Arabidopsis thaliana: one gene and its partner. The protein of the gene in region 1 interacts with the protein of each later gene in a pairwise test. Each region holds a gene or a part of one and is shown on either strand. Other genes may lie near its edges.

Region 1 (5,662 bases):
TTTAATATGAATAAAAAAAATCAACCATAACTGATAGTAGGTTGGTTATCTTTATCAAAACAAATAAAGTTAATAGGCAGAAAAATAATTGTCTATAGAATCAATTATGAAAATGCCATTTTTTGGGATGGCATTTGTGGATTTTGCCCTTTTTTTAATAGTTTGTGAATTTTGCCATTTTTCAGGTTACGTGAATGAATATACGTTTTATTCATTATGTTTGGGTTTACTCGGTTGTGGTTGTTCTTAGGGTTTAGTATTTTGTGTAAACTACGTATTTTTACCAAAAAAAGTCCGAAATCCATATATTTTTAAATCTTAGAAAATGGCTTATCCGTAAGATTTTAGTAAAAATGGCAATTTCAAAAGATCTCTATAAAAAATGGCAAAATCAACAATAATCCCTTGTCTATATGGTGGTATTTCTGCTAAAAGTGACTTATGGGTAGATTTTTTAGCTTCATAGATTCTTTGTCGAAAAAAAATTACTTTGTACATTTTAGTGGAGTTATTTAAATTTCCCAATTGAACAAAACCATATATTGATGAAATTCGCAAATGCAATCCAAAAATAAATATGTTCCACTCTTTTGGTTAGCTTTTAACTAAAGATGCGTTTTACTTTATGTAAGTGGTTGATCTTTTGGCAATGGGGGACAATGACTATACAATCTAAGAGATCATTTTAACGAATATCATTCATATTTCATCCTCTTCTTCAAATTTCAGTTTCACTAATTAACCACGTTTCAATTGTAGTGTATCGCGAGCTGTAAATATTATCTAATTTATGTTACATAATCATAACTGTAATCTTTATTAGACAAAAACATATATACCTCACTGCAAACACCTTCAAACATGGATAACTTGATTTAGGCATACAAATATTATTTCTCATTTATTTGATATGACCTATATTATGTGGCTATTTTATCAGTTTTAGTGTTTTTTATGATAATTGAACCACTTAAATGTTTATCTCATTTTTCAATTTATTTTAAACTGAATTAAAAAGTAAGAAAGTATGATCCAATAAGGCATCGACACATGGAAACCCATTTTAAGGTAGAAGATGCTTTTCTGCGGCTTCTGAAAACAACTAGAAAATGATATGATACGTTGCTTTCATTTATTGTAAGTATTATTTAGTTTTAATTCACGCGCTTCATATCCAGCTGCAAGACTACTACAACTTGCAATTATGAGACTCTCGTTAGAAAATTACCAGGTATAATTTAAAAACAAAAAGAACTAGAATATATTGGCAATTATTTGAAGTAAGAAAATATGAGATTCTTGACCGAGTTGTTAAACTATCAAACCCAAAAGTTTTGGTTAAAAAATAAGCTAGTACTATGTACATATGTTTTATGTTGAAAATATATTAAACTGTATGTAAGAGGGAGTGTACTTTCATTTTAGATATACATTTCCAGCTAGTACGAGGTCTCTATATATAAACTTTCTTAATATCGCTAAACAAATTTTACTTTCAAGTTTGTAATGTGATAAGTGAAAGACCGTATATACATACACATGTTAATCAACTGATAACCTTTGTGCCTCGTGTGTCTAGTTACTAGTCAACCATCAAACGTGCATGATGCTGTTTTTCTTAGAGTACTATTGTTGTGTTATATATAACTAAACATAAACAATTTGCTATTATGATATAAACATAGAATTTTCAAGCAATGATATGTTTAGATGTTTTGTATAAATATTCCATAAATAGTAGACACCCATATATACACAAACATGAATTCTACCTGAGGAGAAACACATAGATGTTCAAATTAAATAATAACCCTATAATGAAAACTCTAAAGTAAGTAATACGAAATAAAAATTTATCCTTTAAATAACATATAAACATATATATACAAGTTTAATTGGTAATTGTATCACAAGAGCCAATTATTTGGTGACTGTATCACACGTGCTTAAAGAGAGCGTGGGAATGAAAGTAAAGAAGAATAAAGAAGCAGAGAGATGGGCTAGAAATGAGAAAACACACCAAACCCTAACCTCACCCTCACACATTTCTTATCTTTTGCTCTCAATAGATTCCATTGATTCAAAACAAAATTTTCATTAAGATTTCACAACCTCCACACACTTCCAAACACAATTAAAGAGAGGAAAAAGAATCAATAACCCTATAAATAAAAAATCAGACAAACAGAAGTTTCCTCTTCTTCTTCCTTAAGCTAGTACCTTTTGTTCTTGAAATTAGGGTTAATTTCTTTTTTCCAAATACCATCAATTCTCCAGACCATAAAAACTCAAAAAGATCAGATCTTTCCTCTGAAAAAGAGATACCCAACTTATGTTTTTGTGTGTCTGTATATAGATAAACATTACATACCCATATTTGTGTATAGACATAAAAAGTGGAAATTAAGGTAACAAAAAGAAATGGGAAGAGGAAGAGTAGAGCTGAAGAGGATAGAGAACAAAATCAACAGACAAGTAACGTTTGCAAAGCGTAGGAACGGTTTGTTGAAGAAAGCTTATGAATTGTCTGTTCTCTGTGATGCTGAAGTTGCTCTCATCATCTTCTCCAACCGTGGAAAGCTCTATGAGTTTTGCAGCTCCTCAAAGTAAACAACTCTCTCACTCTTTATCAGTTTCTTGATTGAGTTTTTGCTAGATCTGAGCTTAGATCTTTGTCTCAAGGACTTGTTATATATAGATCACACGATCTTGATTTCTACGAAGTTGAGTTAATTAGATTTCTTGATTTCATTTTCTAGGGTTTTTTTCCAATTCTTGAAATTTAAGATCTGGTTTTTTTGTTGTCAATGATTTAGAACTGTGAATTTTGTAATCGAATAGATTCCAAATCCTGATATGCAATCTGAAAAGTTTTATATAATTAATATATGTCTGTGTGATTGGAAACTTAAAAGTTGTTCACAGATTTCTATGAAAATTACAAGTATCCAACGTAGAATGATAATATATGGTTACATGCATTAACCATTTGTTAGTTCATCATACTTTATGGTGGTTAAAACTTCAAACGCGTGTATATCTGTGAAGGCTTTGATTGTTTGTTTTTTCTTAAAAACAATGTTTAATAGATTTTTAATTATATGTTAAAATAGTTTTGCTTACATGCATTCAAGAAAATATAGCGATTAATTCCTTTTTTCAAATCACAATTTGTGAATCAAACGAAAACGTAAGATATTGCTTGCAAATGATAGGATTGAACTATTGATATTTGTAAATATAAATACGAAACTTTACGTTTGAAAGTTGAAACAATCAAATCCAAATCAACTCGTATATAATCAGATAAATAATGGAAACAATCTTCAATTTTGATGGAAGAATACTTTAAAACTTGAAGAGCTTTTTTTTTATGGTGATTTATAGGTTTAGATCTCCAAAGTCAAGTATGATCTTTTTAATAAACTCTTATTCTCTCTTTTTGAGTTATTTTCAGCATGCTCAAGACACTTGATCGGTACCAGAAATGCAGCTATGGATCCATTGAAGTCAACAACAAACCTGCCAAAGAACTTGAGGTGTTCTTAATTCAAATACTATTTTAGATTCCTATCATATCATTTCAAGAAAGATCTTTTTTAAAAGTTTGTTTTCGTGAAATATTTCAGAACAGCTACAGAGAATATCTGAAGCTTAAGGGTAGATATGAGAACCTTCAACGTCAACAGAGGTACATATCTGTCTACCTCCGTATATTTACTCAATTCTGTATCCATGTAGATTCATATTTGTAGGTGTGTGTGGCTTTTGTTGGTGCAGAAATCTTCTTGGGGAGGATTTAGGACCTTTGAATTCAAAGGAGTTAGAGCAGCTTGAGCGTCAACTGGACGGCTCTCTCAAGCAAGTTCGGTCCATCAAGGTATCTTTATACATGGAATCAATGATTCAAATGAGATTAATTTGTGTTGTTTAATTATAACTACTATGGTGGTATGATGATTGTTTGCAGACACAGTACATGCTTGACCAGCTCTCGGATCTTCAAAATAAAGAGCAAATGTTGCTTGAAACCAATAGAGCTTTGGCAATGAAGGTATAATTACAGAATAAATGCATTTGGTGCCTTGCGATCAATCTCTTTCACAGAGTTTAAGTTTCTAAACATTTTTGGAAACATCTCTAGTTTTCTTGTTTCTGATTATAGTCTTTTGGTGAAATGTAAATGTTTAGCTGGATGATATGATTGGTGTGAGAAGTCATCATATGGGAGGAGGAGGAGGATGGGAAGGTGGTGAACAGAATGTTACCTACGCGCATCATCAAGCTCAGTCTCAGGGACTATACCAGCCTCTTGAATGCAATCCAACTCTGCAAATGGGGTAAATCCTTTGCCTTAAACAATCATCTGCAAATCAGCTTGTGTACTTCACTACTAAGATTGTACTTATATAAGGTTCTTTAGTTACTTGGTGTAAAGAGGATCATCAATGTGTGTGAACCTTTTAAGTTGCTGTTTTGGTGATGATGATGATGATGACAGGTATGATAATCCGGTATGCTCAGAGCAAATAACTGCGACAACCCAAGCTCAGGCGCAGCAGGGAAACGGTTACATCCCGGGGTGGATGCTCTGAGAGTCATGTGCTGTGTTAAAGCTCACCAACAAAAGATCTTTTATATATATAAAAGTATAGACACAAGACTTTGGATTTGTAGACATAAGTGGCTATATATAATGGTCCTGAGGATCTTCAAGACATTTGTATCTTTTGGGAATCCTTGCTTATATTAAGAATTCAAATGTGTGGAACTTGTTTTAACACTGAACCATGACACTGGTTTATTATCATGTAATGAGAAACATTTGGGTTACAATGTGATCTCTCCTTGACCCAAATACCCAATGTAAACTATATGCCAAAATACAAGCATCACATATATATTCATAAATTCATAAAAGGTTAAAAGTAATCATACAAAATGATGTAAAAAGTTTCATGCCTTGAACAAAACACTGCGCCAAAGGCAAATCCTAAGAAACATGTCAGATTCCTGTGTGCATCTGTTCTGCTGCTGCTGTTGTTTTCTCTCAAGAGGGTTTCCTCAGAACTCCATAAGCCAAACGTGCAGAGAGACGTTTCCTCATTTCCCCATCATATACAATATCATATATTGTTAAAAAATATATTCACATCTCTCTGCTGCCTTGTCAATCTCCCCAGGTCCGGTCTAGGCAGTACAAGACAGGATCAATGGCAACAAGTTACGGTGTTTCGTGGAACTCCATCACCTGCAAATGAGACGAATTCACAGCAGAGAAAAAAATATTCTTTAGTCAACATGAATGAGAAATAATTCAAATGTTCTGAGTTTCAGGAAGAATGATTAGCCATATTTGTCATAGACAAGACAAGTAAAGATTTTACGCATGTGCTTCTAGGGTTGTTGTACATCTTTCATTCTATTGATCTCTGGATCACTCGTCTATTTACGCGTGATGGTGTCTGAGTCTGACTCTGAAACACTAGTAAATGAGAAGCCGAAAACTGGCTTGGAAGAACATGAAAAGTGTTTACCTTTCCACAAACAGGGCAGTTTTCACTTCTCTCCATCCATTCATAAATGCAACTGAGGTGGAAATGGTGAGAACACTTTGTAACAATCTTCGGGTTCTCTGATATGTATTCTACAAAACACACGA
Region 2 (5,710 bases), on another chromosome or scaffold:
CATTTTACACTAAAACATTAACTCGAAATTAAAAATCCAACCCCACATTTCTCCCTCTTTCTCACATTCGCCCCAACATTTTTCTTCCTCCTCTATCAAACTCTCAACGACCGACCAAGCGAGGATCAACCTCAACCCTAGCAACACCAGCCGGAGCCTCCTTAGCCACCTCAACCTCTCCTTTCACAAGCTCAACCGCCACGTCATCACCACTCTTCTTCACCTGTTCCTCGTCGTAATTAGGATCTCCTTCATCCATCGCCGGTGGATCCGGCTGCATCTCGTAATCCTCCATCCGATCAGGTCCTTCCCACGTGTACTTCCCGCCGTGACCTGACTTCGATGGTGGTCGCCTGAGAGGAATCCCATCGGAAGGATGACGATCCATCCGTTGAACACCTTTCTCCATAAGCTTCCGCTCAACGCTCTTGATCGTCTCCGGATTACGTGTCTTCACTTCGAACTTATCAACAGATTTCCGGCCTTCTTCATTCTTGTGCTCCGCCCGTAGCACCACCGTGTTTTTGGTTTCATCAACTGATACCGCCTGCATCTTAGATATACAGAAATAAATCAAAGTCGTGATACTTCACTACTTGTACGTTTGCGTTTAATTAGAATGAGCAAAGAGTGTTTTCTTTATATAAGAGTGTGTGTAAGAGGTGCGTGAGGGGATAAGAAGATAGGGGACAAAAATATCTGATGAATTGAAGTTTCTAGCGACTACCTTGTCTTTCTCGTAGCTTACGGAAACTTCTCATTTTTTTATTTGAGTCTGTCAAGTAATTATCCATTCGAGGGTGTTACTCTAATTGGGCCTTTGTGTATTTTTATACTGTTCGGTCCCCATACATTACATGTTTGTTCACATCATGATCGGATTATTTTGATACTCAGCAATAGATTTTGACATTTGCTCTAATAGTATTAAAGCATTACAAACAAAATCGTAAATACAATCATTCAGAAAGAAGAAGTCAGTCAACGAAGATGGAGAAAGAAAATCTCTCAAACGTGTCAACATCTTCAATATTACAACGTCTTCACTTGTGAATGGAGCAACTCTCCTTTTTCTTGTCAACTCATCTATGAAATATAATTACTTACGGAAAAAACAACGTGTTTACAAAGTGTTATGAATTCACACATATACTACTAACTCACGCCCCTTCCGCTTCTATCGATCAAAGTACCCACTTGTTCTCCGCACAAAGCTTTTGTGATGTTCCCAGCTTCCAGAAAGTTAAATACCACAACTGTTTTTTTTTAATCCAGAGGACAAGGAATCAGGTCATTTACATTCAACGTTCGATTCTATCATCAGGTGCTAAGCACTCATTGCGGGACAAGTATAAGGGTATTGATCTATTATCCACTGATGGAAATCAGGATTCTAGAGGTCCCATCTCGAGTAAACCATTTGTATAATTCTGTCTAGGTCACTAAGTTTAACCATTTATCTCACAGCCAGATCTAAGTAATCTAAAACGGATTAGCTAAACATGATAAGAGAGAGAAGAAGAATCTCGACCTGGAATGCTGTTCTCTTCACAAAAGTTAAGGGCCATTGTATCCATTGACGTAAGACCTCTAGAAGCCAAATCTTGAAATGATATGTGCTCAAATGTCACGTTACTATCTTGTGAATGACAGTCATAAACACCATCAACGTTTGTTCCTTTCACCACTGCCTCCGCATTGACTGATAACAAGAGATCTTAGGTTACCACTTAGGACCAGTTACTAATGGAAAGAGAACAACACTAAGAGGAAGTAAGAGAGTTGTACTGTCTATAGCTCGAAGGGCTGCAGATGCATCAGATGATAAAAGTGGATTTCCAAGCGTGGCACCGATGCCACCAAATATTACCACTCTTCCCTTATCTAGATGCCGGGTGGCTCGTTGACGATTGTAAGGCTCCCCGACACCCTGAACCGATATTGCAGTTTGTAACCGTGCCTGCACCCCTATTTTCTCCAGGGACGATTGAAGTAAAGCAGAGTTCATCACAGACGCCATCATACTGTTACATAACAGAAATTCGGTGAGCTGAACAACCTATCTCCAGCAAAACAGAACATAGAAGGCAATACTATTTTGTTGCTAAGTGCATGGATGTTTTGGCAAAGATGACATGTGAGACCATTTGAAATGATGAAAAAAAAAATCATCTGTGAGAACTTCAGAGCACGATAAATCAAATATGGAAATATAACTCATCATGAGCAGATAAAATTCTCATACAGTGTTTGCACCAGCCAGTTCGATTATCATACTACAGCCATCATGCTTTATACAAAGCACAATTCAAACATTTTATCAACTGAAATATTTTGACCAACCTTATATGATATGCAGTGGTTCTATCCAAACCAGTGGCAGTTACCCATGTGCTGCCACAAAAAAAGTTCCGACTCCCAACAACTATCGCTACCTGGAAGAACCAAACTATGAATACCATTTAACTGAAAAAGGATAAAACGCTAACAATCTAGAACTAAGTGTTACCTCTACACCAAGACGACAAGCCATTGCAACTTCTCTTGCAATCAGATTGATTACCTAAATAATCAAAAGAGAATTTGATGCTGAGGTCGGATAGAGAAAATGCATGAATCAACAAAAGATTACACATTCTGGAGGAAACCTTTGGATCAATGTTATTAGGACCGGTGCAGGCAAGAGCTGCACCACTGATTTTTAGAACCACTCTTCGCCATCTAGGGTTTGATGTAGCCTTTGATTTGACGTTATTAATCTGAACTCCTGGGTTATATGTTACCAGAGGATACCTGAAACAAGAAATACAAAACCAAAAACTTTCACTTTCACAAGAGCACAAAATACAAAAGAGTTGCTAGTGATCGTTTCTGCATTACCTTCTAGCTGGCTTCACAGTATTCCCCATTGAGCTTCCGCTTCTATCTTCATCAGACGCGCCTTTCAAGGCTAATGAATTGCCCACAATATCTTCCATCTTCTTAAACCAAGGCCAGTGACTAGCTGCTGTTCCACCACTGCTCATTCTATGCCTTTCAAGCTTATACCTCTTCTTGAGATTATCAATCTTGTTCTTACACTGTTCTACACTCTTACTCAGCTTTTCACACCTCTCACTCACCGATGAAGCAACCTCTTCCCAATCTCTTCCCCGGAGATTCCCTCGATTAAGCTGTGTGAACTTATCCGAATACGCATCTAACAAACACGCAATCGCCGCATCACTCCACTCTTCTCTATCCTTCCTATACTCACCAGCTGAGGAAGACGAAGTCCTCGGTCTCTTGAAGCTACCGTAGGGAGTAATCTCACCGCCATTTGTTGTTCCTCCGTCACTTAGCTCCTCCTGACTCTGCCTCTTCTCAACACGAACACCTCCGATTCTAGATCTGTTGGCACCGAGATCTTCGTCTTCGTCTTCGTCTACAGCTGCGTTATTATCATCATACGGATTCGAATTTTCGTCCGCCGTGAAAGGATTAACACCGTGACCGTGGAAAGCAGAAGACGCTTCTACAACGACATCGTTCTCGTCGTCCTCGTCGCCGTTCCTCTGGTGATGCGGTAAAAGGATCTGATTCGATGGTTTCGGGTTGAATCGTCTAGGAGCGTAGGGCGTGTGATGAAGAACTTGGTGGTGGTGGTGATGTTGATTAGGGTTTGACTGATCGTCTCCAAGTAGAGAGAAATCGTCATCACACGACGCCATTAAAAATGCCGTTAGGGTTACGGCGGTGGTAGCAACCAGAGACGGCGTTAATTAGCGGCGAGAGGCTGAAGAAACGGAAGGAGAAGGCGTCAAGGCGTGAACTAGCGCAAAAGTGGATGGGCCGTCACAACGGCTCCGTTAGGCAAGTGGTAAGGGTGGAATAAAAAAAAGTTAATTCACAAAAACCAAACCGAACCAAAGTTAAATTGCGTTATTCTATTCGGTTTTGGTTAATCCAAACCGAAACATAGTTAAATTCGCTTCCGTTACAGTCAATAACCTACGTTACCTCATATTTTTCAGCTTTCCAACAAAATACATATTATCAAAATTCTTTCACAGATATATATTCCCATAATGATTTTGTCTTTGTAAGATTAAAATTTATAAAATTATAAAACCTTTGATGATAACAATTCAATTTTCAATTGATGTAACGGGTGAACGAAGAAAATAATTAATACTATCAATATAAAACGTTGGAAACAGGTGTTACAACAATTAAAACTGAAAAAAATGGTTTAGTCCAATGTTTTCCTGTCATTTTTAGATATAACAACGAGTCATAATTATGTTACTAATTTTTTTTTTTAATTTGGTCGTTTGATTGATCGCATCGTGTCTCACTGTATATATGATATATCACTTTCCATCATTTGTTCTAAAGACATGATTTGTAACTTATATATACTTCACGTACGACACTAAATTCATACCGGAGATTGTTTGTCATTGGACTCCACTTGGTATCATATTCAGCAAAAGTTACAAAATTCATTTGACGAAGATTGTTTGGTTTTTGAAAGCAATGTGTATACAGTAATTTGTTTTCCGCTATTTGTTGATCCTCATAATCTTCCAGATGCTCCTACCATATGTCCGAAAATATGTTATAGGAAAACTTTAGAGAAAACTGCAACTATCGCTATAGTTCCAATGGTATCTAATTAAACTTTTGAATCTTATTGTAGGTGCAAGAAACATGTACAAAGCAGAATATCTGCTCAAACACTAGATGGAAATGGAATATAGTGGTATGGTATGATATTTTTTTGTGTTCTATCATCTCAAATAATCTTTGTCACATTATTGACATTGTGTAACCTACCTAAACTTTCACTCAAGTATTTATAATAGAAAATCTCTTCTTCTTACAAATATCATAACAGTTCTTGAATTATATCTTTAATAACTACTTGTACACAAAACTCTAGTTGGTTAAAAATAGAAGAAAAACTCTCCATTGTGATGCTTTGAAGGGTAAATTATTAAATAGAGAAACATATATTCTTTAAATAAACGAGGATCGCCCGTGGGCCGTGGGTAGTTTTACTGATTGTAATTATGTTTCTTAATGTTTTCTCAATACTCTAGTGCAAGCAGAGCACCCGTGGCCTAATGGATAAGGCGTTTGACTTCTAATCAAACGATTGTGGGTTCGAGTCCCACCGGGTGTGTCATTTTTTTTTTCCCTTAGTATGTGTGTTAACCTTTGTACGATTGATTAATTTCTTCTCACTTTTACCAATTAACCACTTAAATATTGACAGCGTGAGAGAATCCTTATTCGAAAATTGAAACTACAAAAGTAGACATGCTTAATCAATTTGCTGATTAAAGACCTTTTGTCTACAATAGTACATACTTTTAAGATTTAATTTACTGCCTAATGTCACTAAAACGTGAGAATCCTAACATTAGAAACTACAAAGTTGTAAAAAATCTCTAATCCTAAATACTAATCAGCATCACCCCTTAGCGGAACTCGGGTCAACCCGTGTACCCGAAGACTGTAACTCATTCAACTCAATTTCACTCCGCCGTAACATGAGAATCATCCTCTCCGTCTCAAGCCTCCGTCTCTGATTGTCAAGCTTAGCCTTCTCCATCTCTCTCTCTTTCTTGCTCCTATATCTCATCCACTTCACTCTCTGCTTCTCCATCTCCACTCCTTCCCACTCATACCCAATCTTCTTCTCCTCAATCTCCAACATCTTTCT

The links. Proteins that work in one complex are often made in the same cells at the same time.
Region 2: the proteins of SEP1 (region 1) and AT3G10030 interact in a two-hybrid assay, tested with the Arabidopsis thaliana proteins (one large-scale study listed by BioGRID).

What each region holds. Positions count from the first base shown.
Region 1 is NC_003076.8:5,150,527-5,156,188, reverse strand, and holds SEP1 (K-box region and MADS-box transcription factor family protein), read left to right. Parts: upstream 1-1,935; 5' UTR 1,936-2,421; coding exon 2,422-2,606; intron 2,607-3,457; coding exon 3,458-3,539; intron 3,540-3,629; coding exon 3,630-3,691; intron 3,692-3,780; coding exon 3,781-3,880; intron 3,881-3,970; coding exon 3,971-4,054; intron 4,055-4,191; coding exon 4,192-4,340; intron 4,341-4,468; coding exon 4,469-4,595; 3' UTR 4,596-4,855; downstream 4,856-5,662. Other genes in the region: AT5G15790 (RING/U-box superfamily protein), read right to left, coding at 5,418-5,647. UniProt on the Arabidopsis thaliana protein: Probable transcription factor. Functions with SEPALLATA2/AGL4 and SEPALLATA3/AGL9 to ensure proper development of petals, stamens and carpels, and to prevent the indeterminate growth of the flower meristem.
Region 2 is NC_003074.8:3,091,122-3,096,831, forward strand, and holds AT3G10030 (aspartate/glutamate/uridylate kinase family protein), read right to left. Parts: upstream 3,905-5,710; 5' UTR 3,711-3,904; coding exon 2,881-3,710; intron 2,794-2,880; coding exon 2,649-2,793; intron 2,564-2,648; coding exon 2,510-2,563; intron 2,436-2,509; coding exon 2,344-2,435; intron 2,025-2,343; coding exon 1,789-2,024; intron 1,703-1,788; coding exon 1,532-1,702; coding exon of another isoform or gene 1,497-1,531; exon of another isoform or gene 1,257-1,496; coding exon 1,156-1,256; 3' UTR 895-1,155; downstream 1-894. Other genes in the region: AT3G10020 (plant/protein), read right to left, coding at 104-553; AT3G10040 (sequence-specific DNA binding transcription factor), read right to left, coding at 5,459-5,710.